4 linked regions of the Tamandua tetradactyla genome follow. The protein of the gene in region 4 interacts with the protein of the main gene of each other region in a biochemical or structural test. Links are inferred from orthologs where the notes say so. Each region holds a gene or a part of one and is shown on either strand. Other genes may lie near its edges.

The links.
Region 1: the proteins of PPARG (region 4) and TRIM24 interact in a test that uses a peptide from one of them, tested with the Homo sapiens proteins (2 studies listed by BioGRID). The link is inferred for Tamandua tetradactyla from reciprocal best matches to the Homo sapiens genes PPARG and TRIM24.
Region 2: the proteins of PPARG (region 4) and NR0B2 form a complex in vitro, tested with the Homo sapiens proteins (2 studies listed by BioGRID, with this or other methods). The link is inferred for Tamandua tetradactyla from reciprocal best matches to the Homo sapiens genes PPARG and NR0B2.
Region 3: the proteins of PPARG (region 4) and NCOA6 interact in a test that uses a peptide from one of them, tested with the Homo sapiens proteins (2 studies listed by BioGRID). The link is inferred for Tamandua tetradactyla from reciprocal best matches to the Homo sapiens genes PPARG and NCOA6.

The regions. Positions count from the first base shown.
Region 1 is NC_135327.1:181,411,617-181,418,929, reverse strand, and holds the start of TRIM24 (transcription intermediary factor 1-alpha), read right to left. Parts: upstream 3,341-7,313; coding exon 2,977-3,340; intron 1-2,976. UniProt on the Homo sapiens protein: Transcriptional coactivator that interacts with numerous nuclear receptors and coactivators and modulates the transcription of target genes.
Region 2 is NC_135328.1:199,326,929-199,334,266, forward strand, and holds NR0B2 (nuclear receptor subfamily 0 group B member 2), read left to right. Parts: upstream 1-4,632; 5' UTR 4,633-4,661; coding exon 4,662-5,202; intron 5,203-6,056; coding exon 6,057-6,298; 3' UTR 6,299-6,809; downstream 6,810-7,338. UniProt on the Homo sapiens protein: Transcriptional regulator that acts as a negative regulator of receptor-dependent signaling pathways. Specifically inhibits transactivation of the nuclear receptor with which it interacts.
Region 3 is NC_135327.1:17,839,066-17,847,007, reverse strand, and holds the start of NCOA6 (nuclear receptor coactivator 6), read right to left. Parts: upstream 3,350-7,942; 5' UTR 3,161-3,349; intron 2,256-3,160; exon of another isoform or gene 205-2,255; intron 1-204. UniProt on the Homo sapiens protein: Nuclear receptor coactivator that directly binds nuclear receptors and stimulates the transcriptional activities in a hormone-dependent fashion. Coactivates expression in an agonist- and AF2-dependent manner.
Region 4 is NC_135335.1:36,551,938-36,559,304, forward strand, and holds the start of PPARG (peroxisome proliferator-activated receptor gamma), read right to left. Parts: upstream 3,300-7,367; 5' UTR 218-3,299; coding exon 136-217; intron 1-135. UniProt on the Homo sapiens protein: Nuclear receptor that binds peroxisome proliferators such as hypolipidemic drugs and fatty acids.

The sequences.
Region 1 (7,313 bases), on a different chromosome or scaffold from region 4:
TTGGTTCTGCCTCCACAGACCATTTTGGAAAACTAAAAGTATACTATGTTGGCAGGTACAGTTGGGACTGAACATTTGTAAACTGTAATACTTTTTTTTTGTTATTAGAAATTAGCTTTATTTCTCCTTTTTAAAAGGTTAAGACATTTTATTGAGCTTTCTACAAAATATGAGTTAAGAAGGATTCACTTTCTATAAATTTCATTTAAGATAAAGGGAGCCATCAAAAAATATTGTATAGAAAGAAGATCTAGCTCTGACAGTGTTGAGTACTACTACTCTAAACCCTGAAATTTGATCTTAATTTTCTAAAGAATCCTCTTACGAATGAACTGTATTCTGGAACAATACTGATTGAATTATAAAGAAAACCAAGTTTTAATATTATACTCTAGAAATATTAAACTATTCCAAATTAAGTAGAATTAGACCCTGTGGAGAGGGGACTGAAAATGTAAACTTTTAACAAGAATACAAGGTGATTCTACTAGAACTAGAGTTTGAAAATCTGTATCTAAATCTAAACAGGAAGAGTACAAACTCCAACATGGTAAGGGGCTGCAACAAAAGCTGTTTTGTTTGGCCTACAGTACGGACCTATATCTATACATTTTCTTTAATTATCTACAAATACCTAATACTAGAGAAATTTTACACACACACACACACACACAGACTTCTCACTTAAAAAAATAATACATACATACATATATATCCTTCAACATTGGTCCTGTTCTCTACTGCTGAGCTAAGTACATTTTGCTGCCTTTTCACTCTCCATCTTTTCCTATTACCTTCCCCCCAGGCTCATTGTTCACCATCTCAATTTTGTGCTTAGTCTCTGTAGGTATTGTAGTTTTAACTCACAATGCCTTGAATCCACAAGTTGTTCAGGATAATGAAGAGTAGAAATGATCAAATGAACCCCATTTATTTAGTTATGAAATACATCACCTCAACTTTTGCTTCAGCTAGTATTAAAATCTGTTTGCAAGGAGAAAGAGAAAAATACTCAAGTCAGCAAGATCAGGATAACATTTTTTAATTCATTGAAGATAACACCAACCCTTTTTAAGAGGTGTCTTTTAAAATATAATTTATTAAAGACCTTTTTCTTAGTCTTCCACTAGAGTACATAATAAAAATAGTATCTCTCAATTTAACTACTTTCCTTGAACTCTTGCTTTCAATACAAACACAAAGATAAAAAATATTTGGAGATTAGAATTATGTAGACTATTTTGAGAAGTCTAAATTTGCAAACCTGTCTCAGAATCAAGCATCAGAGCTTTTATAACCCATATTCTCATTCTGCAGGTCTAAATGTCACTGCCGGGCACACAATAAATCTTAATTCTAAAGTGATGCAAATCTCAGATCATAATTGGTTACCAGACTATTTTCCCACTTAAAGTTTAAATAAAAGAAACCTTAAAATGTATCTAAAAGTTAAGAACTAAGATTTAACTTTAACCTGTACTAACTTTTCAAGAGGTGGGCCACTTCAATGTTGAAGAGCAAATTAGTGTGAAGGATCTGTAATTGCACCCTACTTGCAAGTTAATGAAATAGCCTATCACGGTAGAATGCTGGCAGAAGTAATGAAGAACAGTTTATTACTTAAAACAATAGCATAAGCCAAACATGAGCATTTTTTGCACTGGTTGCCCCAGCCCCAGTTCCCAGAGGGTAACTGAAGAGGGCGGGTTGACACCTGCACAGGCAGCAGTTGTGTTACAGAAGAGGAACCCTATGCTTAGGGAACCTCAGTCTTTTATGTGGACAATAAACATATGTGCCACTATTCTCTATTTTCCAAATATCCTTGAAAAAAAAACAAGATGAAACAAAGGGCGTATCTCACAGACATGACGTGCAGAAACAGAGATCCATGGTGTTTCTCACAACTAGCACAGCTCCTGATATTTAATTAATTAGACTCTAAGACCACAATCTCTTTGGAGCCTCAATTTTATATACCACTTGACCTCAATTATTTAATTAGCATTTTCTCAAATTAATTCAACTATTCTCTCTAAGAAGTGCATATTTAAAATAATTCCCCATTTCCAGTTATTTGGTATTTTTAAAAAGTGCTCAAGTATTTTCAATATTAAAATTTTAAAAACTTCAAGCATTCTATTAGAAACAAGTAACTACTATGCTTATAACTTACTTTAAATGTTTCAAACCTGTTAACACGAGCAACGGGAACTACCTGTCAAAAGTCTCATTATACAGTAACAAACACCACAAAAAGAACTGTAACTTAAGCATTTCCAGCTGCTGTCTTAAAAATACTGGAGAATCTCTGCCCCGAATCACTTTGGATTGTTCTATTTTTCTTCACCGTTTACCTTCTAAAAATAAAACCTTTGAAAGGGAAAGACAAAACACCGTCTCTTGGTTCCTTTGTCCCATCAGAGGGGAGAGAAGACAATTAGACACGCATTAAGGTAACGAACCCAAAATACACAAAACAGGAAATAGACGGCATCCAACCTACAATCAATCATCAAATAAAGACCGCATCACTTAATCCTTATTCCTCCCTTCCCCACTCCAGTTCAAATAACGTGGGTATATAGGAGATGATTAGAATCAGATGGACCTGGACAAAGCTTTCGGTATACAGCGGGCAGCAGCAAAGAACCCGAGATACAGACTACAGCACAGTTCGAGAGGTTTACAAAAGTCCGGGTCACATGGGCCACCCAACCCTGGAGGAGAATGCTCAGAAGCAAAAGGAGCAGCAGCTTTGCCAAGTCCTCAGCACCCACGGAAGTTGCTCGCGGAACGCGCGGAACGCTGCAGAGCGCGCTGGCCCACCATGTCACCGCCGCCAACACAGACCCTCCTCCTCGCCCCTCCCCCGCCGAGCTCCCCGGCGGCGGCGACGTGACAGCGGGTCCCGGCGCACAGAGGCGCCCGCCTCCCCGGCCCGGGCTCCCCCACGCGTCCACGGTCAGCTCTCACCTTGGGTGACGAACGGCGATGTGCCACTGACTGGCGAGCCAGAGGCGGGAACGGGCGGCGGAGTCTCAGCCGAGCCCAGCATCGGTGCAGGGAGCATAAGGAAGCGCTGGGGCACCGGCAAGCAGCGCTGGCAGAAGGAATGCAGGCAAGGAAGCAGCTTGGGCGCCCGGCTCTGGATGTTCTGGTGGCACACGGCGCAAGTGTCCAACAGGTTGAGCCGGGCCGCCTCGCCCCCGCGCTCCGAGTCGGGGCCCTGCCGACTCTCGGCCTCGTTCTCTCCGCTCGGCGCTGCCGAGGGCCCCCCCGTGGCCGCCGAAGCTGCCGCCGCCGCCGGGGCCGCCGCCTTCTCCACAGCCACCTCCATTGTCCTGCCCCCGCCGCCGCCGCCGCCGCCGAAGAAGGGCGAGCGCGGTCTCCGCCCGCAGCCGCCGCCGCCGCCGCCCCCGACGACCTCCTCCTTCTCTTCAGAGACCGCTCTGTAGACCCTCAGGAGCGAGAGGGAGGAGGGGAGGAGCCGGGCCGAAGAAGCTTCCTCAGGCCCCAGGGATCCGCCTCCCGGGTGGCGCAGCCGGAAGACCGGGATCTGTCAGCCGGGACCGTTTCTCGCACCGGGAGGCTGCGCCCCCTCCGTTTCGCCAACCGCCGCGGTGCTCGCGGAATCCGCCCGGCCCACCCTAGCCTCCTCCCTCACGCTCCGCTGCCTACCCGCCTTTCTCTCCTACCCCACTGCCTACCTCAGTTCCCGCCCCCGCCCTCCCTCTCCCAGCAACTGAGGCGACCGCAAAGAGCGCACCGGCCAATAGCCGCCGTGCCTGGCGAAGGGGTGGGGCCGGGCGAAGCCCGGGAGGCTCACTCGGCCCCCGCGGGAGGCTGGGAGGTGGGAGGGCAAGTGTCCAGCTCCGCCCCCTCGAACTCCGAGAACTGCGGCCTCTGATTGGGCCTTTGTGGATGTTTAGCTCTCCTGAAAAGATTAAGGGTTCGTTTGTTAACGACGAACCACTTAATTCGATCTGCTTGTGTTTGCCCCTCCTACGGGGCGGAGCTCCATCGTATCTACTCAATGCCATTAATTAACTGCTTCAAAAACTCTTATTTTACTACTACTGGAAATGGGGTTCCTGTTAGGGTAAAAGGAGAATGAAGTGAAGGCAGTGAAGAACAAACAAGAGAATAACAAGAAGGGTGGAAAATTATTGTGTAAAAAAACCACTAAGGCAGCATTGATTTTTACCACCTGAATTTACCCAGTATGATGAATATTTGAGTATGAAGATTAAACGGGGACTTTTTCTTGCCAATGGGAAATTTTTTGATGATTTCTCCAATGAAAATGATTACATTTTAATGTCAATGATTTGCTTTTTAAATGAATCTTTATAGTGCATTTTCCAGGGATTTTATGAATTAAAATCCAATGATTGCAAAAAAACTTTATTGAACAAAATATCATTTTTCTTTAAAAAAATAAAAATAAATCTCAAAACTGATGTCCAACTAATTCATGACTTCAATATTATTCTTCTTCTCCATCCTGTAACAGAACGCACATTTTCACTAAAAAATGTCCACGCGTATAAGGAACAGGGTGGTAAAACAAGCCTATGTACCAAGTAATGTAAGAAATTAAAGTAAAAAAAGATTGCTCCTAAGTGCCTTTTTTAATTATATTTTTTAGTATAAATGAAGAGTTCTGGACGTTGGAGGAGAGTGGCATGGGATCAAGAAAGGCTTTGTTAGGATATGATCCTGGAAGAATACATTGAATGGCAATGGGTGAACGCAAATTCTAGTAATCGGTCTTCCCACAAGACCTAACAATTTCCCAGTTATTCTCCACCTACCACTCTCTTTCCTAAGCAGATTTTCAAATCTAGTATCCATAAATTACTCCACCATGAAGTTCTACTTAATGACATTCAATATTTATATATCATTATAAGGTGATCCAGAACCATCCTTACAGTACAGAGACCTATCCCAAATTTATTTGCTCACTTATCAGTCCCTCTATGATTATTAGCCCTTATTACTTACAGAAGATTGTGTTACGTAGGCTAGGGAAAAAAAAGTGTTAACTATAATCCCATTCCTTTGGGTGCACGCTAATCATAAATAAGACTTTTGAAAATGTTATTTGTAGTTAAAGTGTGGCCAACCGAATTAGTATTGGTCTTAATCAAGTTTACTGATGTCCTTGATGAACAAAAGAAATAGAGAAAGCCACAGGGATGAGCCAGAAGGCAGGCAGAAGTTGGAAGAGAAAGGAGAAGACATCACTATGTGATGGGAAAACCAAGGAGCCCCAAGGATTGCCAGCCTGGCAGAATACTACTGACCCCAGGAGAAGCAAGTCTTCTAGCCCCCAAACTGTGTGATAATAAATTCCCATTGTTTAAGCTAACCCATCCTGTGGTATTTATCATAGCATCCTGGAAACTAGGACACAACCTAACTGAACTTCCAGACTCATCCTTACTGCTTTCCCATATCTTGCCTCAAACAAATTGGAATACTTGCCATTTTCTAAACTGTGCCACCATCACTATCACCAGCTCTGAGAGAGGAGATAAGAGTTGTTTGAGTTGGAAGAGAAAGGAGTCGGTGAAAAGAGCAAGAGAGTTAGATACTAGTGAATATCTCCTTTTCCTCTCTCAATTGTTTGCATGCAGGTGTTCAGTATGTTTCCATTTTTGCTTGTTTGCATGCAGGTGTATGGCATGTTCTATTTTGCAAGAGACCACAGGCAGCTAGGTGATCTTGAATCTCAACCAACTGCAGCTGCTTGCCAGGGCACAAAGGTAGCCTGATGAATACTTGCTCAATCACCCTGTGGGTATATAAAAACTGAATACTTGGGCAGCACAAGCGTCCCTCATCTCTGATCAAAGTAGGGCATGTGGAGCTGCCATCCACTTGCCTTGACCCAGACATTTGACCTCCCTTGGCTTGAAGCTGCCCTAAGGAATTTATCCTGACCCAATTTTTGTGGGAGCAGTCAAATCTCTTTTAATCCTGATGTAATATTGTGGGGCAGAAACTTTAATTGGATTACTTACATGGAGATGTGATACACCCAATTGTGGGTGTGACCTTTTGATTAGATGAAGATCTGACTTTGCCCATTCAAGGTGGGGTTGCTTACTGCAGTCCTTTAAGAGGGAACCATTTTGGAATGGTCAGGAAGATACTTTTTCTGGGGAAAGGCTGCTGGCCTCTGGGGTTCCTGTCACATGGGAAGGCAGATGGCGACATCTGCTGGTCCTTCTCTCCTGGTTCTGGTTTCAATGACTGTCTCCAAATGTCTCTGGGAGTTTTCTCTCTAAGCTCTCTGGGCTTTTAGTGTCTTTTATCCTCTCTCAAAGTACTCCAGAAAAGGATTAGAATTGGGTGGGTCACATCTCCGTGTAAACAACCAAAGCAAAAGTTCCAACCCACAATAGGTCTGCATCCACAAAGATGGATTAAAAGAACATAAGCTTTTCTGGGGCACATAACAGATTCAAACCAGTACATGTGTATATATATTTTGTTTATCCATTCAGCAGTTGATGGAAACTGCGTTGCTTCCATCTTTTGACAATTGTGAATAATGCCACTATGTATATTGGTGTGCAAAAAGTCCCTACTTTCAATTCTTTTGAGTATATACCTAAAAGTGGGATTGCTGTATCATATGGTTATTCTATACTTAGCTTTCTAGGAACCTCAAACTTTCTTCCACAGCCAATGTACCATTTTACTATTCCACCAGCCATGAATAAGTATATCTATTTCTCTATCCTCTCCAGTACTTATCTTTTGTTTTTTAAATAATAGACTTTCTAGTGGGTGTGAAACTGCATCTAATTGTGGTTTTGATTTGTATTTCCTTAATGGCTACTGATATTGAGCATCTTTTCAAGTGCTTTTGATAATTTGTATATCTTCTTTTGATAAATATTTATTCATGTCTTTTGCCCACTTTTTAATTGGGTGTTTTGTTGTTGTTGTTGAGTTATAGGATTTCTTTATATATTCGATATATTAAACCCTTATCAGCTATGTGGTTTCCAAATATTTTCTCCCATTGTGTAAGTTGTTATTTTATTTTCATGATAAAGTCCTTTAATGCACAAAGGTTTTTAATTTTTAGTGAGGTCTCATTTATCTATTTTTTCTTTTGTTGCTTATGCTTTGGGTGAAAAGTCTAAGAAACCATTGCCTAACTCAAGGTCCTGAAGATGTCTTCCTATGTTTTCTTCTAAGAGTTTGATAGATAAAAAAAAACTAAATATAAGAGCCAGAACTATTTTGAGTTGATTTTTGTATATGATGTAAGGTAGGAGACTACCTTCATT
Region 2 (7,338 bases), on a different chromosome or scaffold from region 4:
TAGGAATCCTTCAAGAGCTCATAGGGAGAGAGAAAGCTTAGATAGAAATGCCCTGGAAGAAACAAGCAAGGACTGGCAGAAGCCAGCAGAAGTCGTCATGTGCCTTCCCATGTGACAGAAGAATCTCAGTTGCCATCGGCCTTTTTTCAGTGAAGGTGTTCTCTTGTTGATGCCTTACTTTGGACATTTCCATGGCCTTAGAATATAACTTGTAACTTTATAAATCCCTTTTGCAAAAGCCAATCCATTTTTGGTATAATGCATTCTGGCAGCATTTTAGCAAATTGAAAACTATGTATTTATTTCTTTATTTTGGTGTGTACTGATGGCCTCCTATTTTACTCAGTGGGTTACAATCTGCAACTATCATTATTTATTTTGATGCTCAGATTGTCCCAGATTAGGCCAATGGGAATTCCTTCCAGTTGGAGTCTATGTCCTTTTGCCATGTCCCCATCATTCTTTGAACACCTCTTTGTTTTCTGGTGTAAAAAGTATTTACTTCTCCAGCCCCAGCCTTGGAATCAATCAGTACTCCAAGAAGCTCTGAAGGTCCCTAGTTCTGTTGCTGTGAACATGAGCCAATGGTATATGAAGCTCATCTATTGCAGATTACATCTGCAGTTGGCTAGGAGGTGTGCCTGCTGCAATGTATGATGTTTGAATTAATTGGCTGGAAGCTTAAATGTGAGAGCTCAATGCAGCTCTCTGCCCAAGTAGCTCAGAATACTTCATCTCAGCACTTCTCAGCTCAGTCCAGGCCTTTGGAGATGCAGAAAGGAATCACCCCGGGGAAAGTTGTTGGGACCCAGAGGCCTGGAGAGAAGGCCAGCAGAGATCGCCCTGTACCTTCTCGCAAAGAAAGAACCTCAGTTGAAAGTTATCTGCCTTTCCTCTGAAGAACTATATGTTTTTAACTAAGTAAATCCTCTTTTATTAAAAGCCAATCCATCTCTGGTGTGCTGCATTCTGGTAGCTTTGGCAGACTAAAACAGATTTGATACCAGGAGTGGGGTGCTGCTGCAGTTTGCAAATACCAGACATGCTGGAACAGTTTTTTGGATGGATAAGGGGAAGATTTGGGAGGAACTGTGAAGAGAATGATGGAGAAGTCCTGGAGTGCTTGAAGAGACTGTTGGTGTAAGTGGAACCACTGCCAATCTGAACAAAGTGGGACACAAAAAGAACAAATTGGAGTTTGCAGAGTGAGAACCATGGAAGCTTAGGTCTGAAGCCAAGAAATCTCAGGCCAGGAGAGTGAACCCACCTATATACATGGAGAGAGTGAATTTTCCCTGAAGGCAGAGGATGAGTCTCCCACCTCATTGCAGTGGAAGAGTTGTGTCACCTCAGGCTTTGGAGAAGGTACTCCTTGGGAATTGGGGAGAGCCTGGCTACCATCAAATGGAGGGGTTGAGCGTGTGCCCCAGAAATGGCAGAGCCCAGGTGTGGCCCCGATGCTTGGAGCCAAGAAAAAGGTGGTCTCCTCAATGTCCCCTGAGGTTGATTCAGAAAGAGGTGGGCCACCACATAGGCCCTTGGAAAGGGTGGGATTGCCACTTTGTAAAGCCAAAGGATATATGACTTTCAGACTTTGAAATCCAATGGAATTTGCCCTGCAAGTTTTCAGAACTGTTTGAGTCTTGTGACTCCTGTGTTCCCTCCAATTTTTCCTTATAGAAATGAAAACATGTATCCTGTGACTGTCCTTCCTTTGCATATTGGCATCAGATAACTTGTTTTGAGATTCATAGGTCCACAGCCAGAAGAGATTTTTTGCCACTTTAATATCGTTTAAAGTGATATGTATAGTTGCCAAGTTGACAAGGGGTAGACATGTGGTAGTTAGGTTCAAGTGTAAACTTGGCCAGGTGTAGGTGCCTAGTTCTGTTGCTGTGGACATGAGCCAATGGCATATGAAGCTCATCTATTGCTGATTACATATGCAGTCAGCTAGGAGGCATGTCTGCTGCAATGAATGATGTTTGATTTAATTGTCTGGATGCTTAAATGTGAGAGCTCAGTGTAGTACAGCCAAGCAGCTCAGCATGCTTCATCTCAGCACTCACAGCTCAGTCCTGTCCTTTGGAAATGCAGAAAGAAATCACCCCGGGGAAAGTTGCTGGGACCCAGAGGCCTGGAGCGAAGGCCAGCAGAGATCACCCTGTGCCTTTTCACATAAGAAAGAACCTCAGTTGAAAGTTAGCTCCTTTCCTCTGAAGAACTATACATTTTTAACTAGATAAATCCTCTTTTATTAAAAGCCAATCCATCTCTGATGTATTGCATTCTGGCAGCTTTGGCAGACTAAAACATATGGGGTTATGTAGGAGAATGTCCTTGTTTGTAGGAATTATACACTAAAGTATTCAGGGGTTATAGGGCAAAAAAAAAAAAAATAGCAAAGTATTCTCAAACGGTGAAGGAAATAAAAAAGCTTCCTTCTACTGTACTTAGGACTTTTCTGAAAGTTTGTGAATGCTCCAAAATTAAAATTAAAATATCATTGACATATGAAGAGCTAAGCAAAGATTATGCAGCTACAAAGTGTAGGCAAATTGATCAGGCAATTGATGAATAAAAATATTTTATTGTTCTCCTAGTTTAGGGATGTTTGTGCCTTCTGTCAGTTTAATTTGTAGTGATTTATCTTCTCTTTGTTAATATTCACCTTCACACCTGATTTTCAATTCTTTTCTTACAGAAGGCCCTCCAAACTGTGTAAGTTTCTAGCCCCACAAAACCAATATCCTCTCTTGAATGTTCTGCCACACTTTAAAAATGAGAAAATAGTGATGCACAGGTGGTTAAATGGTAGAATGCTTCCCTACCATGTGGGGGACCCAGCTTCGATTCCAGGCCCATGCTCCCCTACCCCCAACAAATGAGGAAACTGAGGACAAGGAGAGAAGTGAAGTGGCTTGCCCAAGGTCACTCATTAGGAAGTGATGAAGCCAGGATTTGAACCCAGGCAGTCTGACTCTAGAGTCTCCGTCAGTGGGATGGTGTGAGGATCCAGTGAGGTAGGAGGACATAGAAAGAACTTAACAAATGAAAGGAATTAAGATTATTCACAAGCAAATGAAAGATATTTGCCTGTTTGTGTGCTGGTGCTTAGTTCCTTAGGGAGAGGAAAAGAGCAAAGTCCCCAAATGAATGCCCAAACTGCTTAGAACTTGACATCTAGAACCTCACTTGGTCCTCACAACAGCTCTGCAGACAGATATTATTGTCCCCAAAGAAACTCCTGAGGTCCACAGAGGTCTGAGGATCAGTTCAAGGACATAGCTAGTATGTGATGGACCCAGGAGCAGATGCCAGGGCTGGATGATGCCAGAGCCTATCACTCTCTGTCCAGGGCACCACACTGCCTGGCACTGTGGTAGCAGAAGTTTGCCAGGCTGGACATGCCAAAGTCCAGGGATGTGACACAGTCAAGGAGACTCATGCTCCTTCTCATACCATATGTCTTACCATCTGAGGACAGAGGACCCAGGGGATGGGCAGAGCAATATTTCCCTCCAGATCACAAGTGGGCATCACCTATAGACCAGGAAGCAGCTAGGTGGGGGCCCAGGTAGCCACCAGCTCTGAGAAAGTCAGGTAGCATAGCTCTGGCTGCATGTTGGGTCAGCGAGTACAGAGGGACAGCAAGGACTTCGGAATCAGGTAGATCCAGGCTCTGACCCTTCCCAGTTGCATGACCTTGGGCAAGTTGCTTCACCAATTTGAGTCTCACAAAGTAAGACCTTTGCCTCATAGGGAAGCTGTGAATATTTACATGGGAAGTGCCTGGCACGTAGCAGATCCTTGATAAAGAGCAGCCATATTTCATTATCGATCCATGAGGACTTCGTGGCAGACATGTCCTTTTAGGAGTTATAGGAATCTAGGCTGGGGAGAAAGTGTTCTGAAGGACCTCATTTCTGCAGGGCACCCAGAACTGGAGTCAGAGAAAGGGGACCCCTTGATTGCATAGTGGGCATAATCTTCCCAGCCCCCAGGGTCCTGGCTCTCTTCCTGGCTCTCCTCCTGACAGCAGGAACACGTTCCCAAGGCTAGGCAAACAAACCAGTGATAAGGCACTTCCTGGTTGGGCCTTGCATTCAAGGCTTCTCCAGCTCTGCTGGGACTGGCTTCCCGGCTTAGGAAGAGTGCTGGGTTTTTTTTTGTTTGTTTTTTGAGTATACAACAGGCTTCTCCACTTTTGGGGCTGGCTTCTCAGTTTAGCAAAAGCCCTGGTTTTCTGTGCCTAAAAGAGCAGGCACCAGTTGGGATACCTGTCATGGCCACCTGCTGATTGTGCACCTGAGACCTTGGTGTCCTGGTACAGCCTGGGTTAATGACCCTTTATATTCTCTTGAGTCATCCGATAAGGGGCAACGGGCCAGCGGGCAGGCAGCCTGTGCCCTGCAGTGGCCCCTACATTGACTGAAGCCATATCAGCGCCACGTGGAGCTTCTACTGCCCTCCTCCCCCACCATTCCCCGCCAGTCCTGCCAGGGTCAGTATGTTTTTTTTTTCTCAATGAACATGACTTCTGGAGTCAAGGCTATTGGGGCCGTTCCTTCCCACCCCCCACCCTGAGGGATATAAATAGCACCCACAGTACAGAGCAGAGGGCAAAAGAGCCAGGAGAAAGAAGGAGCAGATTCTGAAACATGAATTCCAGCCAGCCAGGGGCTTGCCCATGTCGAGGTGCTGCAGGCCGCCCAGCCATCCTGTATGCACTTCTGAGCCCAAGCCCTGGGGCCAGGCCCTCAGTCCCAGCATCCCGTAGCCACTGCCTGTGCAGGCAGCACCGACCCGTCCGCCTGTGTGCTCCCCATCGCACCTGCCAGGAGGCCTTGGACGTTCTGGCCAAGACAGTGGCCTTCCTCAAGAACCTGCCATCCTTCTACCAGCTGCCCGTCCAGGATCAGCAGCGCCTGCTGCGGGGCTCCTGGGGCCCCCTCTTCTTGCTTGGGTTGGCCCAAGACACTGTGACCTTCCAGGTGGCCGAGGCCCCAATGCCCAGCATACTCAAGAAGATCCTGCTGGAGGAGCCTGGCAGCAGTCGTGGCAGTGTTCAGCTGCCCGACAGGCCCCAGCCCTCCCTGGCTGCAGTGCAGTGGCTTCAGTACTGCTTAGAGTCCTTTTGGAGCCTGGAGCTGGGCCCCAAGGAGTATGCCTACCTGAAAGGGACAGTCCTCTTCAACCCTGGTGAGCTCCCAGACACTCCGGGATGGGGGCCAAAGTGGAGGGAGGACTCATCCAGGGAGGGTACCTTTGAAGGGCTTGACATCCATCACCTCTTTGGTTCCCCATTATCGTTAAATATTCATCACACAGAAAAAACTCAGAGAGAAGTGGGAGGGGAAGATGAGAAGAGAAAGGGGAAGACTGTGTGGTGAGGTTCTGAAGGTAGAACTCCATAGGTCTGGAAAGACCACACAGACAGGAAGAACGAAGGGGGTGTAAAAGAGAAAAGGGAGGGAGTCTTAGTGAAATGCACCTAGGAGAGCAGCAGATGGAGACCATGTTCTCTATAATCTGGAGAGCATCTAAGATAAGACTATTCCACCAAATGGCCCCTGTGGAATGCTTAAATTATAGCAATTGATTATAATAATACTTATTATTATAACTGAAATAATTATAATAGTGAACACATATTATACTTACTGTATGCTAGACCTTATTTCTAAGGGTTTTACATATACTAAATATCATTTAAACATCATAACAAGCTTAAGAGTAGGTATTATTATTAGCCCCATTTTATAGATGAGGAAACTGAGGCACAGAGATTAAGTAACTTGTCCACAGTCGTGCACTAAATAAGGGATGGCACTGGGATTGAAACCCAGGTAGTCCGGCTCTTAACCATTACTCTATGCTGCCTCTCCATAAATGGATGATGAATAAAAAGATAAATGAATAAATGAATGAAGTAGGAATGGGGCCTTAAAAGCTGAGCAAAGAAGCAGGGCAGTGCCTGCTGGCAGCCTCAGGTCTCGTCCCTTGGTGGCTAGGAGTGGGGTGCTAACCAGCCTTCTCACCCTCTCTGCCTACAGATGTGCCTGGCCTCCACGCCTCCTCCCACATTGGGTACCTGCAGCAGGAGGCTCATCAGGCACTATGTGAGGTCCTGGAGCCCCAGTGCCCAATAGGCCAAATCCGCTTGGCCCGTGTCCTCCTCATGGCCTCTATCCTCAAGTCATTTCCACCCAGCCTGCTCAGAGACCTCTTCTTTCGCCCGGTGATTGGAGACACTGACATCACCAGCCTCCTCGAGGATGTGCTTTTGCTGAGGTGATCTGCCCCGGCCCTAGCAGAGATCCAGTGTAGATTGTGCAGAGGTTGGCAATGTTAATTCAATCTGGCTTGGCCTGCCTGTCCCCAGGAGTGACCTGATGCTCCTGGAAGGACTAAGCCTGTATAGCCAGCACTCAGCCCTCTAGGATCAAGCTGAGCCTGGCTCAGCCAGATGGCCTGTGGAGCCCCTCACTCCAGCCAGGCCCTATCTTGGACTTCCCTCATTTGGACACAGTGCTTCAGCCAACTGGCCAGCTCTTGGTGATCCCCAGAGTCTCTGGACCAAGACTCCTGTCTCCTCCTGGGATATGGAGGGCTTAGGTTGCTCATAGGCCAGAAGTCCTACTTACTTTGTACAGAACTGACTTAAATTATTACTTTTTGTAATAAAAGGTGTGACACTTTGGAGCCAGACATTGTGGTTTGTACATAGGTAAAGAACCACCTCACCTCCAGGGCCCTTCCTGCCCCTATGAGTAGGAGCCCAAGGGAAAGAACCCATAATGGGTGTAGGAGCTGGGTCTCAGGGAATCAGGGTATTAATTTCTCAGAGTGAGATGATGATTTCATTTCTGAGGATGAGATGCATTTTGCCTCTGCTTGTGAACCCAAGGGATAGCATCAGTTCCCAAGCCCCTTACATATCTGCCTTTATCCTTGGTGGGGGAGTGGGGCGGGGGGAGGATTCTCCCTTATCTCCAACCCCTACCGACTCTTCCCTGGTCCCATCCCCTACAGGCTTCCATTCACCTCAGTGAGTCTGATCATGGTCAGTCAGGAAAATGAAGCAGCCCATTCCCAAATTGAAACAGAGACGCTCACTGGAATTTCTGCAAGTTTGGGACAATTCATTCCCCTACCCGACCCCCATTCCCCGTAGTCCATAGAAGAATGTGCCATTTTTCTCCTAGTTGTGGGGAGTGTGTGTGGGGGGAAAGTCTCCCTGGGCTGCCTAGAAGCTGCTTAGAGGCCAAGGCAGGCTGAAGTTTAGCTGGCCCACAGTGTTACAGCTACACAAGTTGTTAAGAATCTGAGATGCCT
Region 3 (7,942 bases), on a different chromosome or scaffold from region 4:
CCATTGGCATCATGTATAAAACTTGAAGTCAACAATCTATGTTTTACATTATCTTCACTCAACTGTACAGTCATCAACATTCTTAATTTTAGACAATTTTCATTGCTCGAAAGAGAAAAGTAACTGATAAACACACCCTAATCAAATAGAAATCCAAATCTCTGCTTAACTCTTGTCCTCCCCTCTCCCACCCCAATTATTTACCTCTGGTATTGTTGTGGTACTGTTGACCTCTTCTTCTTACATATAGACCATAGCATGTGTGTTAGTTAGATTCAGTTGTCAACTTGGCCAGGTGAGCATACCTAGTCTTGTTGCTGAGGACATAAGCCAATGGTGCGTGAACCTCATCTGTTGCCAATTACATCTGCAGTCAGCTAGGAGGCGTGTCTGCTGCAATGAGTGACGTCTGACTTAATTGGCTGGTGCTTAAATGGGAGATTGCAACGTAGCACTGCTAGCAGCTCAGCATTCCTCATCTCAGCACTCGCAGCTCAGCCCAGGCCCTTGGAGATGCAGAAAGAAGTCTCCCCGGGGAAAGTTGTTGGAACCCAGGGGCCTGGAGAGAAGACCAGCAGAGACCATCCTGTGCCTTCCACGTAAGAAAGAACCTCAGTGGAAAGTTAGCTGCCTTTCCTCTGAAGAGCCAACAAAATAAATCCCCTTTTATTAAAAGCCAATCCGTCTCTGGTGTGTTGCATTCCAGCAGCTAGCAAACTAGAACAGCATGCAATAGTAGTTTTCCCCCATACCCCTCTATTATTGATTCTCTGTACAAGATTCATACCTTTGAACGAGTTCATACAAGAACTTATATTTGTAGTGTTAATCCATGGGACACATGAGTCTATACAATCCCTTTCAATCATGTTCACCTTCAATGTAGTAATATTACTTATAAATCCACTAGTGAACTGTTTTCACTTCTATTCATTCCCTTACATTTGAGTTCAACCTCATTAGATATCTCAAGGTTCTGTGTATCTCTAGGTCCCCTATATTCTATATTATAAGTCTCTGATTTTACCTTTACCACGGTCATAAAAGCAAAATCATACAGTAATCTATCCTTTTGTGTCTGACTTATTTCATTGAGCACTATGTCCTCAAGGCTTATCCATGCTGTCATACACTTCAGGACCTCATTTCAGGACCTCATTTCGTCTTACTGCTGCATAGTATTCCATTGTATGTATATACCACATTTTGTTTATCCATTCAACTGCTGATGGGCACTAGGACTGTTTCCATCTTTGGCAACAATCTATTTTGATTACTGTATTTCAATATAATTGGTTTCCTTTGCAGCCTATGTATTTTACTTTACACAATTAAAAATATTATTCTGAGACAGGTTCCTAGGCTTCACCAGATGCTAAAGGGATCCATGCACAGAAAAAGTCAGGATCCCCTGGCACTGGAAAAATCCAGAACAAGGAAAATATTACTGAGCACACATACTGTACTGAAAATCTTACTGTTATGAATGCTCCAATAATCTTTTTGTGGAAAGTCCTTTTTTATTAATGAGGGCCCTGGACCTACTATATCATGACTGATTTGCATAGGTTCTCTCAGAACTCTACCACAGCCCATCTGATCTTTGTCCTCTTCTCTGGCATGATCAAACTTCAACTAGATCCTGGATTTATATCATTATTCACTGTTATATTTTTAGACTTTTTGTGTCACTTTACCGCACAGTAAACACCTAGAAGAAAAGGATCATCTCTTAAAATTCTAGAAAGTCCAAGGTCAAAAGCATCTTGAAAACAACTTCTTTGCTAGAAGGTGGGTTAGAAAATATCAAGTCACCCATACTTTTTTGTATAACAGCCTTTGCAATGACAAACTCAGTACAAAACCAAAATAAAATCATTAACAGTTCTCTGATATATAATGTCATCCTTGACTTTTAAACACTTTTCTCCCAGCTAGCAAATTCCTCTAAGGCAGTACACTGAATGAGGAGGCAAAAGACCTGAGTTCTAGTCCTCCTTCTATCACTAATCTGCAAGATCTTGGAAAGTCAACTTTACCTTTCAATGTCTCAACTAAAATCACTACATGATCTGAAATGATTACATGATCTCTAAGGCCCTTAAAATTCTTTACACATTCACGTCTCTTCACCATTTTTACTGGCTTCAATAACACATTTCTGATGTCAATCTCCCCAGGTGACCCTGCTCTTAAGCAGTGGGCTGTCCCCTTCCTGGGAAGATACCTTGTGTCACCACCCTCCAACCGCCCAGTCCCTCCTTTTAAAGACACACACAAACTCTCTAAGTTTATGGAGGTTCTCTCTCTCCTTGCCAACTATTTCCACTCTCTGCATCCCTTCTGCTCACCAGCTTCTGTATCTAACCTAGCCTCCCTCTTTTCTATTCCTATCCAAGCCCTTCCCTTTTTCTGTTGCTCCCCCTCAACAGGAGTTGGGGGATCCTGGGGACACCAAAGTCCTCAGTCCCTTGGGGGTTATATGGACTTGCAATTCAGCCCCGGGGCTCCGAGGGCTATTCCAATAGGATAACCAATTCTGTCCTCCAAGGGTCCCTGTTTCTGGTCGCTCCTCCTCCAGAGAACTGTCCCAGTCCTGACAGCCTGAACTCGGCCGGCCCTATCAACCTCTGGGTCCTACCTGTTCTGGGGTCCTGTACAACGCCCATGGCCTGACCCTGCCCCAGGTCCGGCGCGCGCACGCAGCCGCGTGGACCTCGACCCAGGTTCCATTTGGACCCTGTGTCCCTTTTCCACAACCCCGGTCACGGCCCCATGGCCGGCTTCGGCCAGTTCTCCAGGCGCGGAGCGCCACCCAATGCAGGCGTCTGCTCGGCCCTGCACTGCACTCCCTCAAGTTCCCGAACCCGCGTCCCGCACCCTCCCCACCCCAGGCAAGGCCCCAGCTCCCTCCAGCGCCCCCGCCCGCAGGCCCCGGGCCCGCTCCCCAACATGGCGACGGGGACACGAGCCCGACGGACGGACGCGCGGGCGGGGCGGCTCCCGGCAGAGCCCGCACTACGGCCGCGCTCCGCGGTCGGTCGCCGCCATTTTCCCGCGCCGGGCCGGAGCAGTACCTCCTCCCAGCTGAGCCAGCCGGCCGGGGCCATAGACGCCCGGCAGGCCCACCCCTTACGGGCCTGCGTCGCCGTCGCCTCACCTGAGCGCAGCTCGCCGGCCCTCCCGGGCGGGCCTCGGAGCGCCAGCCCGGGCCGTGCGTGCCCGCGGCCCTCCGTGCGTGTGTGCGTCCGTGCTCGCCCGCGCCCGTCTATCCGGCGGTCCGCGCCCGGCCGCCAGCAGCCCGACCCGGCTGGGCCTCAGGGAGCCGGAGGGAGGGGGATGGGCCGGACCGGGCCAGGGAGGGAGGGGGAGGGAGGGAGGGAGAGAGAGAGGGGGAGGGAGCGCGGGAGGGGACGGGGTGGGCCAAGGGGCGGGGCCCTGTCCACGTGATCAAACGTCCTTGGGAGCGCTGGGCGGAGCCCGCGCTGGCTCGCGTGGGTGTGGATCTCTTAGACCTGAAATCCCATGGGTTTCTGTCTGCTTACCAGCACCAAAATCTCACCAGGGGCACTTGATCCTACTTTGGAAGCACTGCACAACCCTTTGGGAGTGCTCTGGCTAAATGTCTTAGGGCAAGTTACCTTTCCCAACCTCAGTTTAAGTATCTGAAATATTGAGATAATATTAATGTTTGCGAAGGGGAAATGAGGGAAGGTGTGGAAAGCACTTGGCACAGTGCTTAGCACTTAGTGTCTAATAATATCATCAATGATGATAAGGATAGCCTTTATTATTATTTGCCTGTAAGTCCCTCTCTGCTTTTCCCCATCACCACCATGATAGCAAGTTGAGTAAGTGCTTAATAAATATATCTTTTGACTGAACAAGTGAGTGCAGCTCCCTCCCCTCTCCCCAAATGTCAGGAGGCTTCTGCACAGGGCTTGATGTTTTACAATCCTGGATTCTGATCTTTTACTCTTGACAGTTGTGTTATTTTCTTTGCTTCTCCGAACTTCAATTTCCCCATTTATAAAAAGGGCGTTAAGGGCGGGCCACGGTGGCTTAGCAGGCAGAGTTCTCTCCTGCCAAGTTGGAGACCCTGGTTCGATTCCCGGTGCCTGCCCATGTTTAAAAAAATAATAAAATAAATAAAAAGGAAGGTGAGTCTGTCATAAACATCACAGAAGATAGACGATGAGCAGGTAGATTGTAAGCTGCTTGCACAGCTCAGGAATAATGGTCCCGTCTAAAAAAGGAGTCAGGGCCCCTTTAATTCCATAGATATTTATTGAGCATACACCATATAACTACATCTTCCGTGGCCCAACTCATTCTATTCTTCACCCTGCTGTCAGAGTAATGTTTCTAAGTCAGAAATCTGATCATATCACTCCCCTATTTGATGGCCCCGCATTGTTCTTAAGATAAAAACCCAATAAATATCTTTCTGTTTGCCTCCCTTTCCCTTCTCCAGGTTAAGGCCCTCTTCTCTGTTCTTTGGGCTGCAATGACAGTGGCTTTCTTAAATTCTTCACAGGATACCCTCCTTCCTCAGGACCCTTGCGCATGCGGATCATTCTGCCTAAAATACTCTCTGCCCTTTGGTAATGCATCAATTTTCAGGTTCCAGCTCAAACTCTCTAACCCAAGAATACCCTCCCTGATCACCCCCCAGAAAAGTCTTCTTAGCACCATGTGCTTGTCCTTGATGCAGAATGCACTAGATGGTTTACCACTAGACTGTGGATTCCACAAAGAGGGAGACCTTATCGTCTTGTTCACTGTTGTGTTCTAAGTACATAGCACGGTGCCCGGCACCTGGCACAGAGTAAGTACTCAATAAATGTTTGTTGTGTGTATGAATCCTGGCCACCAGGATAGATGTTGGATCCCAAAAGGACAGAGAAAAGCAAAGAGAACCACGAGGGGACACATACTTCCAGCCTATCAAATTAACTCCAAAGGAACTTTAAAGGAAGCTGGAAAACATTTTTGAAGCTCTTTAACTCTTTAAAATTGAGATATAATGCAAAAATCTTAAGTGTAATACCTAATACATATTTTTAAATCTATGCTCCTGTGTTACCAGGTCAAGTTACAGAGCATCACTATCAACCCAGAAAGTCCTCTTTTGTATCCTCACATGTGTCCTCTCCCTTTACTGGAGGAAATCACTACTCTGACTTATAGCACCAAAGATTAATTTTTACAATTCTTGAGTTTAAGATAGAAGAACTATACAATGTATACACTTTTTGTATTTAGCCTAGAAATCTAACATAACTAAAGAATGACTATTTGGATAATGATACAGTTTATGAATTTCTCGATTAATTCATTAATTTGAAAGATTAAGATGTGACCACGCCATCCTGCTGAGACAGGGGTCCTGCCATCAGCTGGTCCAAAAGCTGACCTCTTAGTCCCATAGAAGCTTCTAAAGGTAAGAAAAGTCTGCAGGATTCCAGAACCTGAGTGACTACCTCATTCTTCATTATCTTATTGGTGTCCTTAACCAAGGGTCATGTGTTTTCCTTAGATCAGGCAGGAAGCAGGGAGCAGAGGAGAGAGGGGCCCACTTGAGCACCTACACATCCTGTTGGTGGAAAGAGAAGGAGCATATGCAGGGTGGCATTGAACTGTAACAGGTCATGAGCTGGCAGACAATGTAACATAATGATGACAAGATTGGGCTCTGAAACCAAAATATCCAAGTTCAGATTCTAGCTGTGCTGTTTATTAGCTATGTGATCTTGGATAAATCCAACCTCCTAATTATATAGATAGGGAAACTGGACCAAAGGGAGATAAATGACTTGTCCAACAGAGTTCAGAATATTCTCCCTTCTTTGTTTTTAATCTAAATATGATTGATGGGGGGGGGGAGGGTGTGTACACACCCCTAGTAAAGTGTAAGCTCCCCAAGGAGACTATTTTTGTAATATTGCCATTTGTAATGTTTTGTACCTCAGTTACCTCATCTACAAGATGCAGATAATAAGGGTAGATAAGGTTTTCAAGAGGATTAAATGAATTAATGCATCTAAAATGCTTAGAGGAGTGCCTAGAACGATGACAGCCTCAATAGACACCAGATTGAACGAGGCCCCTGAAGAAGGTATCTGGCTGTTTTGCAGTGTTTTGAGCAAAAACAAGCAGTCCTGAGATACCCAGTTTCTTATTCTGGATTCAGACGTGGGTAAAGAAAATGCAAATCAATTTTTCTTTGGTATAAGCGGTTTTACTAATTAGCAGTTTTGAACTTCTACTTTCATTTAGGTGTCTGCATGGTCTTGAGCTTTGTAGTGATAAGACTGGTGGTGAATTCTTGAAAGACGTCTTTAAGAAAATAAGAACAGAGAGGAAAAAATCCATAACAAAGCCACCTAAAGAGCACCAACATTCTGTTGTCTACAGGCTTTATCCTAACAGTGCCAAACAACAGGGTTCCCACATTTAGCTGGGCAAGCTACAAGAGGGCGGCACCTTGGCATTGTAGATCTGTACATTTATTGTGCTAATTTACCAGCAGAAGGCAGTATAGTGCCTTGCTAATACGAAATCATTTCATAACAATTTTCAGACAAATGGAAATAAAATGCCCGAGAGGATAGGGTCAGTTTTTTCTACTTCACATAAAAGCTTAATATGGACAACAATGCCTTTCCCTTCAGAAATAAGAAGATTGAAAAATAGAAGAAAACAGAGCAATAACTACACGACTGAAAAAATTGAAAAGTATCAAAAACTAATGAAAAGAGATTCTTAGGACTAAAAAACCTATTTTCAAGAAGATTCTGAAATTCCTGTCCTTTGGAAAAAAAAAAAAACTTTGTCTTAGACTATAGTATAAAGACATAAATGTGAATGAATCATAAGTGTGAAAACCTGATGAATTTTTGGAAAGCGATCATACATGAAGAATCAGTGCTCAAATTAAGAAATAGAACATACCCATACCCATCAAGGGCAAACAATATCCTGACATCTAACTCTGCAGATTAGCTTTGCCAGGTTCTAAACTTTACATAAATGGGATCATACATAAAGTACTCTTTTGAATCTGGCTTCTTTTCCTCAATTTTCTATTTTTGAGATTCATTTATAATGTTGCAGGTAGTTGTATTTTGTTCACTTTCATTGCTGCATAGCATTTCATTATTCCATGTACCACAATTTATCCATTGCACTCATGACAGGCATTTAGGTTTACACTTTAGGGCTATTTTTAATACTACTACCGGAATATTCTTGTACATGTTTTTGGATGAACCTATGTACAATTTTCTGCTGGGGTATGCAGAATGCAATATATCAGAAACAGAACGGCTTTTAAAAAGGGGAATTTATTAAGAAGCAAGTTTACTGTCTAAGGCGTGAAAATGTCCAACTTAAGGCAAGGCTATGAAAATGTCCAAATTAAGGCACCAACAAGAGGTTACCTTCACTCAAGAAAGACCAATGAAATTCAGGGTGTTTCTCTCAGCTGGAAGGGCACATGGTGAAGTCAACTAGCTTTCTCTCCTGGTATCTTGTTTCATAAAGCTCTCCGGGAGGGTGTTTTTCTTCTTTATATCCAAAGGTCTCTGCCTGCTTGGGCTCTCATGGCTCTTTCCAAAATGGTTCCCTCTTAAAGGGTTCCAGTAAGCAACCCCACCTTGAATGGGGAAACCATTCCCCTCTCCTTTGGAAACCATTTAATCAAAAGTTACCACCCACAATTTAGTGGGTCGCATCTCCATGGGAGCAACGAAAAGCTCCCACCCAGCAATATTGAATGAGGATTAAAGGACATGGCTTTTCTAGGGTCCATCACAGATTCAAACAGACAGAATACAATGGTTTTTAGTATATTCACAGAAATGTGTAACCATTGCCACAGTTTTAGAACATTTTCTTCACCCCAAAAAGAAACCCTGTTCCCTCTACCTATCACAGCCCT
Region 4 (7,367 bases):
TCCCTGAGGACAAACACGATACTATTAGAACAAACAGAATTTGGAGAACACATTCTCTGTAGTTTATAGCCATAAGAACAAATTTACATAATGCCCCACGTACCCCCCAAAAGCCCTTTCTGGAATACACTTTACCTTGGGAAATGCTTGCAGACAGTGTATCAGTGAAGGTATCTCTTTCTGAGTCAAGGAGAGACTCACCCAGAGTTTCACCCATAACTGGCAAAGAATAGGGATTTGCCGAAATTCACACTGATATTCTGTCTATTTCTTGTAAAGGACTGATCCATTAAAAAAAAAAAAGAAAGAAAAAAAAGAAGACGACGACTTGCAGTAACCGAACACGTGAATACACCAATGAGTCAAGACCTCCATTTCCAAATATTTGGGAGAGGCGGGAATAAACACCAAAAGGACCAGGCCTGAATTGGCAGGCCAGGAACTATTAAAAGAGCCAGCTGTGACAAAATGTTGTGTCATAATGTTGTCCACTGCTTTGGCAAGACTTGATATATTACAAGGAAAACATTGCCACACTGTCTGGCCAGTGACCCACATGCAAAGTGTCTTGTGAGGGGCACAGACCATAGAGTCTTGAGAATTATCAGAGCACAGAGGTGGTTCGATAATCAGATGCTTCTTAAAAGGTACACTTTAAATCTCCATGTTAAGACATGCCGGGTAACTTTATTTGGACAAAGTTTCTTCTAGCTGCTCAGCTTCTGGTTGAATTATGAATCCCCTCATCTGAAGAAAACTTTGGAACTCAAATATGTAATCATCTTTTTATTTTTATTTTTTTCTCTCTATTATCGTTTTATTTTTTTCTGTTGTCTTTCTATTTCTTTTTCTGAATCGATGCAAATGTACTAAGAAATGATGAATATGCATCTATGTGATGATATTAAGAATTACTGATTGTATATGTAGAATGGAATGACTTCTAAATGTTGTGTTAATTTTTTTAATTAATAAAAAAATAAAAAATAAATAAAAATAAATAAATTTGGTATCAGCACGCCACTGAAACGTTATATCTGTAAGGCATTCTACTGCTTTTCGTAGTCCCAGATGACACTGCCTGCTGCCCAAATTCTATAAAATTAAATAGCCGAGAGAACGGAGACAAAGCCTGACACTCACTAAGGTTTTACTTATCGGGTTTACATTTTTAAAACTTTCAGCTTTATCCATCAGTGACAAATGCAGCAATATTGCATCAGCTGATGTTTGAACACCAGGTGATGTTTAAATGATAAGTGCCATGTCATAATGAAAAAAAACAAAACAAAGACCAAAAAAACCACTCTCTTCACTCTCTGTGAAGAATAGCGCGTTACCAGAAAAAAAACAGAGAGTGACGCTGATAGGCTGGCGAGGAATTGTGGTCAGTTTTGTAATCAGGAAAAAGCTGGCTTCTTGCTCAAGGCCTTTGCCCTTTTTGGCAAGGAGAAATGCTAGCTGTGCCAAATGCCTAATGTGGGAGCAGGCCTTTTCTTGTCACATAAGTGGCCCTAATAAAACTGCAGTGACTTGTGGACTTAAAAAGATACCCCCACGTACGGCAGAAAATCAGATGGCAATAACCCTGTTATACTTACCCCAATTTTCCCCACATGGAATATATATATAGTTCATCTACATTCAGTTTCTCAGGTTAAAGCAAGTTTCTTGACAGTCCAAATGGCTGAGGCATTTCTAGTTGTGTAGAACTAGTTTTAGCCATATTCAGTGTGAATTCTAAATAAACACCTTGCTCCTTCCCTCTCAATGCTGGGAAATTTATTTATGTTACAAAGTAATCCCGACACGATGACATAATATTTGAGGGTGTGGTTCAGTGTAAGATTCTTGATTGGATTTTGGGTGAATCAAAGTAAATTATTAAAGTCAAGGGTGCTTTCGTTCTTTCTAATAAAACCGAACAAAAATTAAAGTGTCATTCTGCCTACAAATACTCCTCCTCAAGGTTCCAAGATGTGTTTGTGTCTGGTAGGCAAATTACAGCCGTATTTACTATTAAATGGCAGTATACAAACCAAGCAATATACAAAGCAACCCAAGCCACTCACAAAATGTCGATACAATGCAGACTATCTGATCAAATTTCATATTAAATTTCATTATAATATTTTGTCTTACAATACTGTAGAGTGAGTTTACTTCAAACACAATTTGCTCACATAGGAAAAAAATGGACCAAAATCAACTGGGCCAAATAAATTGAGTAAAATCCATTTCCATCTAATTACAGACTTGTTGGGTTCTTAGACACTGAAAAGATTTATTTTACATCTATCCATCACTTGTTCATTCAACATTTGTCAAATGCCTACTAAATTCCAGGTATTATTCTAGGCATAGAAAATAAATACATTAATAAGCCAAGGTTCCTGTTCTCAATGAGTTCATATTTCAGTGTATTTATTAAAGTTATCCCAAATACACCTACAAGAGTGATCTCTTAACTGATTTTAACTTCTGAATGCCAATTATCATGCATATATATCAGAAATAGTATATTTGCTTAAACAAAGTCTTTCTTATTGGTGGACAGCGTGTGGTCACCAGAAAATTCATGAGATTACACATGCATGTGAGTATTTCTACCATTATAGTTTCAGCTTTCCCAGCATCCAATTCTTTATAATAAAAAAACCTGAAGATATTATAAGATGCTTTAAAAAATGATTTCATTGGAATGGAATCATGGAGGTTTCCACCTAACCAAGGAAACCTCTATATAGAAGTCTACTGCTATTCTGTACAGAAGCCCCTAGAAGGAGAGTCCTTGGTAATTTTATGGAGTAAGGAGTGGTGGTAAAAGAGCCACCTTCCTTAGGCACCATGCACAAAAGCTAACTCAATTCCTTCTACTGAGGGATGTAGGGCTCTGCATGATCTAGAGGTTGGGAAGGCAGCTCTTCATGAACTTCTGGATATCTATAATGTATGTGGTTATGTGTATACTACCAAACCGGCAGGAGGAGATAGAATGGGGATAATCAGGAATGACTATTCATGAAGAGGGTGAAAAGTTTATTTAACTCTATCCTGGTTCATGAGTGTGGAAAACACTTGACAGTCTAGTGTTAGACTGAGATGAGACAGCTACTCTTTGATATTTAGTCTTCAATATTACTTTATGGAATCTGTCTTTGACCAAAAGGAAATAAATAATACTCAGTCCCCCAAAACAAACTCCTCCAATTCAGTACCTTTAGGAGAAGGCACCTAGACTAATAAAAGTGAATGATTTGGGGGGTGTGAGGGTAGCTCAGTAGTAGAATTCTCAGCTGCCAAGCAGGAGACCCACGTTTGATTCCCAGCCCATGCACTTCCCAAACAAACACAGAAACCAACAAAAACAACAAACAAACAAAAAATTCAACAAAAATTCAACGGGATACTCACATGGGAAAAGAATGAAATGTGACCCCACTGTACAGTATACAAATAAAAATCATTTAAAAAAATGAATGATTTTTTATTAAAAAGGCAGAGAAAGCCTAAAAAAAACCCATAGTTAACAGAATCACTGTATTTTATCTGTACGAAGTTCTCCCCCCCCCCCAAGTATTGTACAGTGTTTGGCATGATTTAAGTCAAAGATCACCATGAAACAGGATCTATATACTTTTATGTTGGGTTATTCTTGAAAGCTAATTAAAATTTTGCTTTTTAGCTACAACTTAAATTTGGATTTTATCCTCTAGATTGGATTTTAAAAACTGCTTTCAAAGCTCTCTTTTTCTTACATGTAAACTTTGGATGGATCGGTATATAATATTACCTAGAGTCTTATTTTCTTTTGCTATCAACCCATTTTCAAAAGTTGCTCCATTAGTGAGTGTTACTAAAACTTAGGCTCCTCCTAAAAGTTTAGGAGCTCCTTGAAAGAACAGCATCTTGCTCCTCTCTGTATCTCTGAAGTCTAGCCCAGTGTCCCTAGTTGGCATAAAAATACATGTTTATTGTTTTTATTGATGTGAATGATGACAGGGCAGCTGCTTGCCACATTCCTCTCACATGGATTATTCAAGGAGGAGCTGAGAGAGCTAATGGACCAATAACAGCATCAATCTTCTTGCTCGGACAAGACTTGAATTTCCCTGTGGTGCTCTCTCTGGAGGAAGTGAGATAATTGCTAACGACCAGCATGACTGCTGCAGCACATGCCTCCCCTTACCCAAAAGAAGTGCTGCATTTTTCAAGTGCAATTAAAGTTGGCTTGGAACCTTGTCTTCTGCTGGTGGTTGCATCAGTTCAGGGTTTCTTCGGAGTCAAAGGGCAGACAACATGGGAAGAATGATGTGCCAATGGGACACATGCCTTTTAGTGGAACAAATAATCTGTCTTCTTAGAAGTAAATTCCACCACCACCCACCCAGCAAGCTGAGTCTTCCCACAGAAAGACAGGGGATGGCCAGTACCAAAACAGACACGTCTCATTTGCTTTTGTCTTTTTTGGTAGAGAAATTCATTCTTCTTTAATCACGAACTCTAATTTGGTTTCAGAATTTTAAAAAGAAACGTATTTTCGATACAAGATTAATATTTTAAACCACTATGCCATCTTGATTTTCAATACTAACAGAATGAAACTACGTTACCTTGAAACCAACAGTTTCAGTTGGTGTGTGTGTATATATATATATATATATTTTTTTTCTTCAGTTGGTGTATAATTGATCTTCAAAATCCTGATTCAGATTCTAAAGTCCTAAAGCTTTTACCTGGGCTCAGCCACAAATCTGCTGGGTCCTTTCGCTGGTCCACACGTCTCACCTATAGTGTAGTCCATCGATAGTTGGTCCAGATGTCTCACCTTTCTGCAAAATGGATTAATCCTTAAAGCCCACTGGGGTCTGACATTGAGATGCCTACAATTATTTTACTGGAAGTTGAATAGGTATTCTGTATATTATATTCTTACTCATGTTTGAATTCTGAGTTTTCCTTTTCATATCTGACTGGTAATTAGGGGACAGTATAAAAGGTACTTTTGTCTGGAAAAATAATGCCCAATAGTAAAACTCTCAAAAAGAAAAATCAGTTGAGAATTTCCTTTTTTTCCCCCCCATTGCCTATAGTACCTGAAAAAGAGCCTAACGTGTCTGACCACTTCTAGGGATCAATTAAAAACTTTTCAAATTATTGTATCTTTGAACCAAAGAAGTCCACCTAAAATATGCTGACTTGTCTTTGCAGGTAATTTTTAAAATTCTCTAGTAATTGGGTTTCCATAGGCTATATTTTCAACCGACCCATAGGTATGTTACGGGAAATGCGAAACCTCTAAAATAGCTAGCTATCTTCTTTGGTTTTCAGATTTTATCAATTAATTTTTCCAGATTGGTTATATAGAGATTTCCTGGGTAACCTATCCAGTCATTGGTGAGCCACGTCTGTAAGGGATGTAACCCACAGATATCCTACGAGCAAGCTTGGTGTGCTTTATGTAAAGTAAGCAGTTTCCCCGTTCTGTGATCCTGCTAAAGGAAACCGACTATTGAAATCTCAGACTCACAAAGCTTAATACCAGGAAGGTTACACATATTCGCTCTTAGTTTTTCATGGAGGGAAAAATGGGTTCCAGAGAAATTCAATCAGTTTGCCCGACGTTATGACCCAGATAGAGAATAGCCGAGTTTGAGCCAGAAATCAGGTTTCTTGATTCCAGTCCAAAGCTCTACACTGTGCTCTCCCTCATTAAATTATTACAATGAAACGTTCACAGGAATTGTTCCTATCAGGGATCCTGAATGCCAACAAACATGTAAGAAGTTCATCGGCATAAAACCATTTGTATTATATGACTCAATAGGGACGCATGACCCACAAAAATATGAACGGTCACCCCGCAGTTCAAGGTCAGTGAGTTAGGATTTGGTAATATTTTTATTTTGCTAATAAATGCCCTTTACTTCATTCCTATGTTCTTCATAAGCCATCATAGAATCTTGGGGATCTTTTGGTACCAACAGCTTTCTACTGACACAGTTCCTTGGCCTTATGAAAATAATAGCATTATTATGTGAAAATGTCCACTTTGAGGTAACAATGCCCCAATTTAAAAATACCTTAGATGGTGACTGCATGATAATTCTGTATTTTTGACATGATTTTTCTTTAAACCCATGACTTCTCAAAAAAAATAAATGAGACATAACAAACCAAAAATACCTTGCCTGTATATTATTTAATTCAGCTGATACAACAATGTTAGGAGATTACTGAAAGCAAAACAAGAAAATAATAGCAGCTATTGAATAGGGCTGCAGCATGGAATAGATGATTTTTTTGGCTGTAAAACTCTGCCCATAGGTCTTTGGTCAGTATGGCAAAAAGAGTCAAATAGACCTGGATTGAATTCAAGCTCTGTCACCTACTTTGGACTTTTAGTTTGGGTTTTTTCATCTAAGAGAGTAATTATGAGACTTAGAGGATATGATTTAAATAAATCAGTGCCTGCAACAGAGTAGGTCTCAAAATTAACATACTATGAATTCTTCCAAGCAAAATTTAAATTTGACTGGACTAATAAAAAATCAATCCAATGGCACTTAATTAAGAAAATAACAAAAAGAGCAGTCACCAAGTAACCCTCCCATTACTTTTGTGTTCAAATGAGCTACATAAATAATTTTCAGGCAGGTAGGGTATACAAGTAGCATATGGAATCTTCAAAAACAAATATGAATTTTAAAAGTCCACTCAGAAGAAATAGACACATTCAAGCCACAGCTGTAGTCAAAGACATTTGATATAGAATAAAATATATCTGTGAAATTCATACATAAAACTGAATTTTAATGAAAATTAAACAATGGGTAGTACGGAAAATATTTTTGGGTCTATTTTCCATTAAGGGTCATCAATCCATCAATAGTAGATTGGGCCAAACTAAATGTTTACTGTCTTCGTTAGATGCATATTATCAAAATAACAGCATTATATTTCCACTCCCCAGAGCATTATAAAATCGGTTCCATTCTAGGGCTCTACATTCTGATCTATAGACTCTGTCTTAAAACATTAGTGAAAATTAGCAGACTGATAAATATAAACTAGCTTTAAGACTCAAATTTCACATTTATTGAGCACCTACTCTGTCAGGCGCTCTGCTAAGTGTTTTAAACTAGAACATCTTATTTTGACCATAAAAACGACATGGGCTTGACAGGTAGCTCCCTCTTTTTTGCAGAAAGGAAAAGGGTGAGGCCAATGTCAGGATTAGATAATTGGGCTATTACAGACCAAGCAATAGACACAAGTGTCATATAACCAGGGATACAAAGATGAGTAAGACTGGGTCTCAATTCTCAAGTCACTTTCCTCTTTTTAGTGAAGAGGAGTAAGACAAG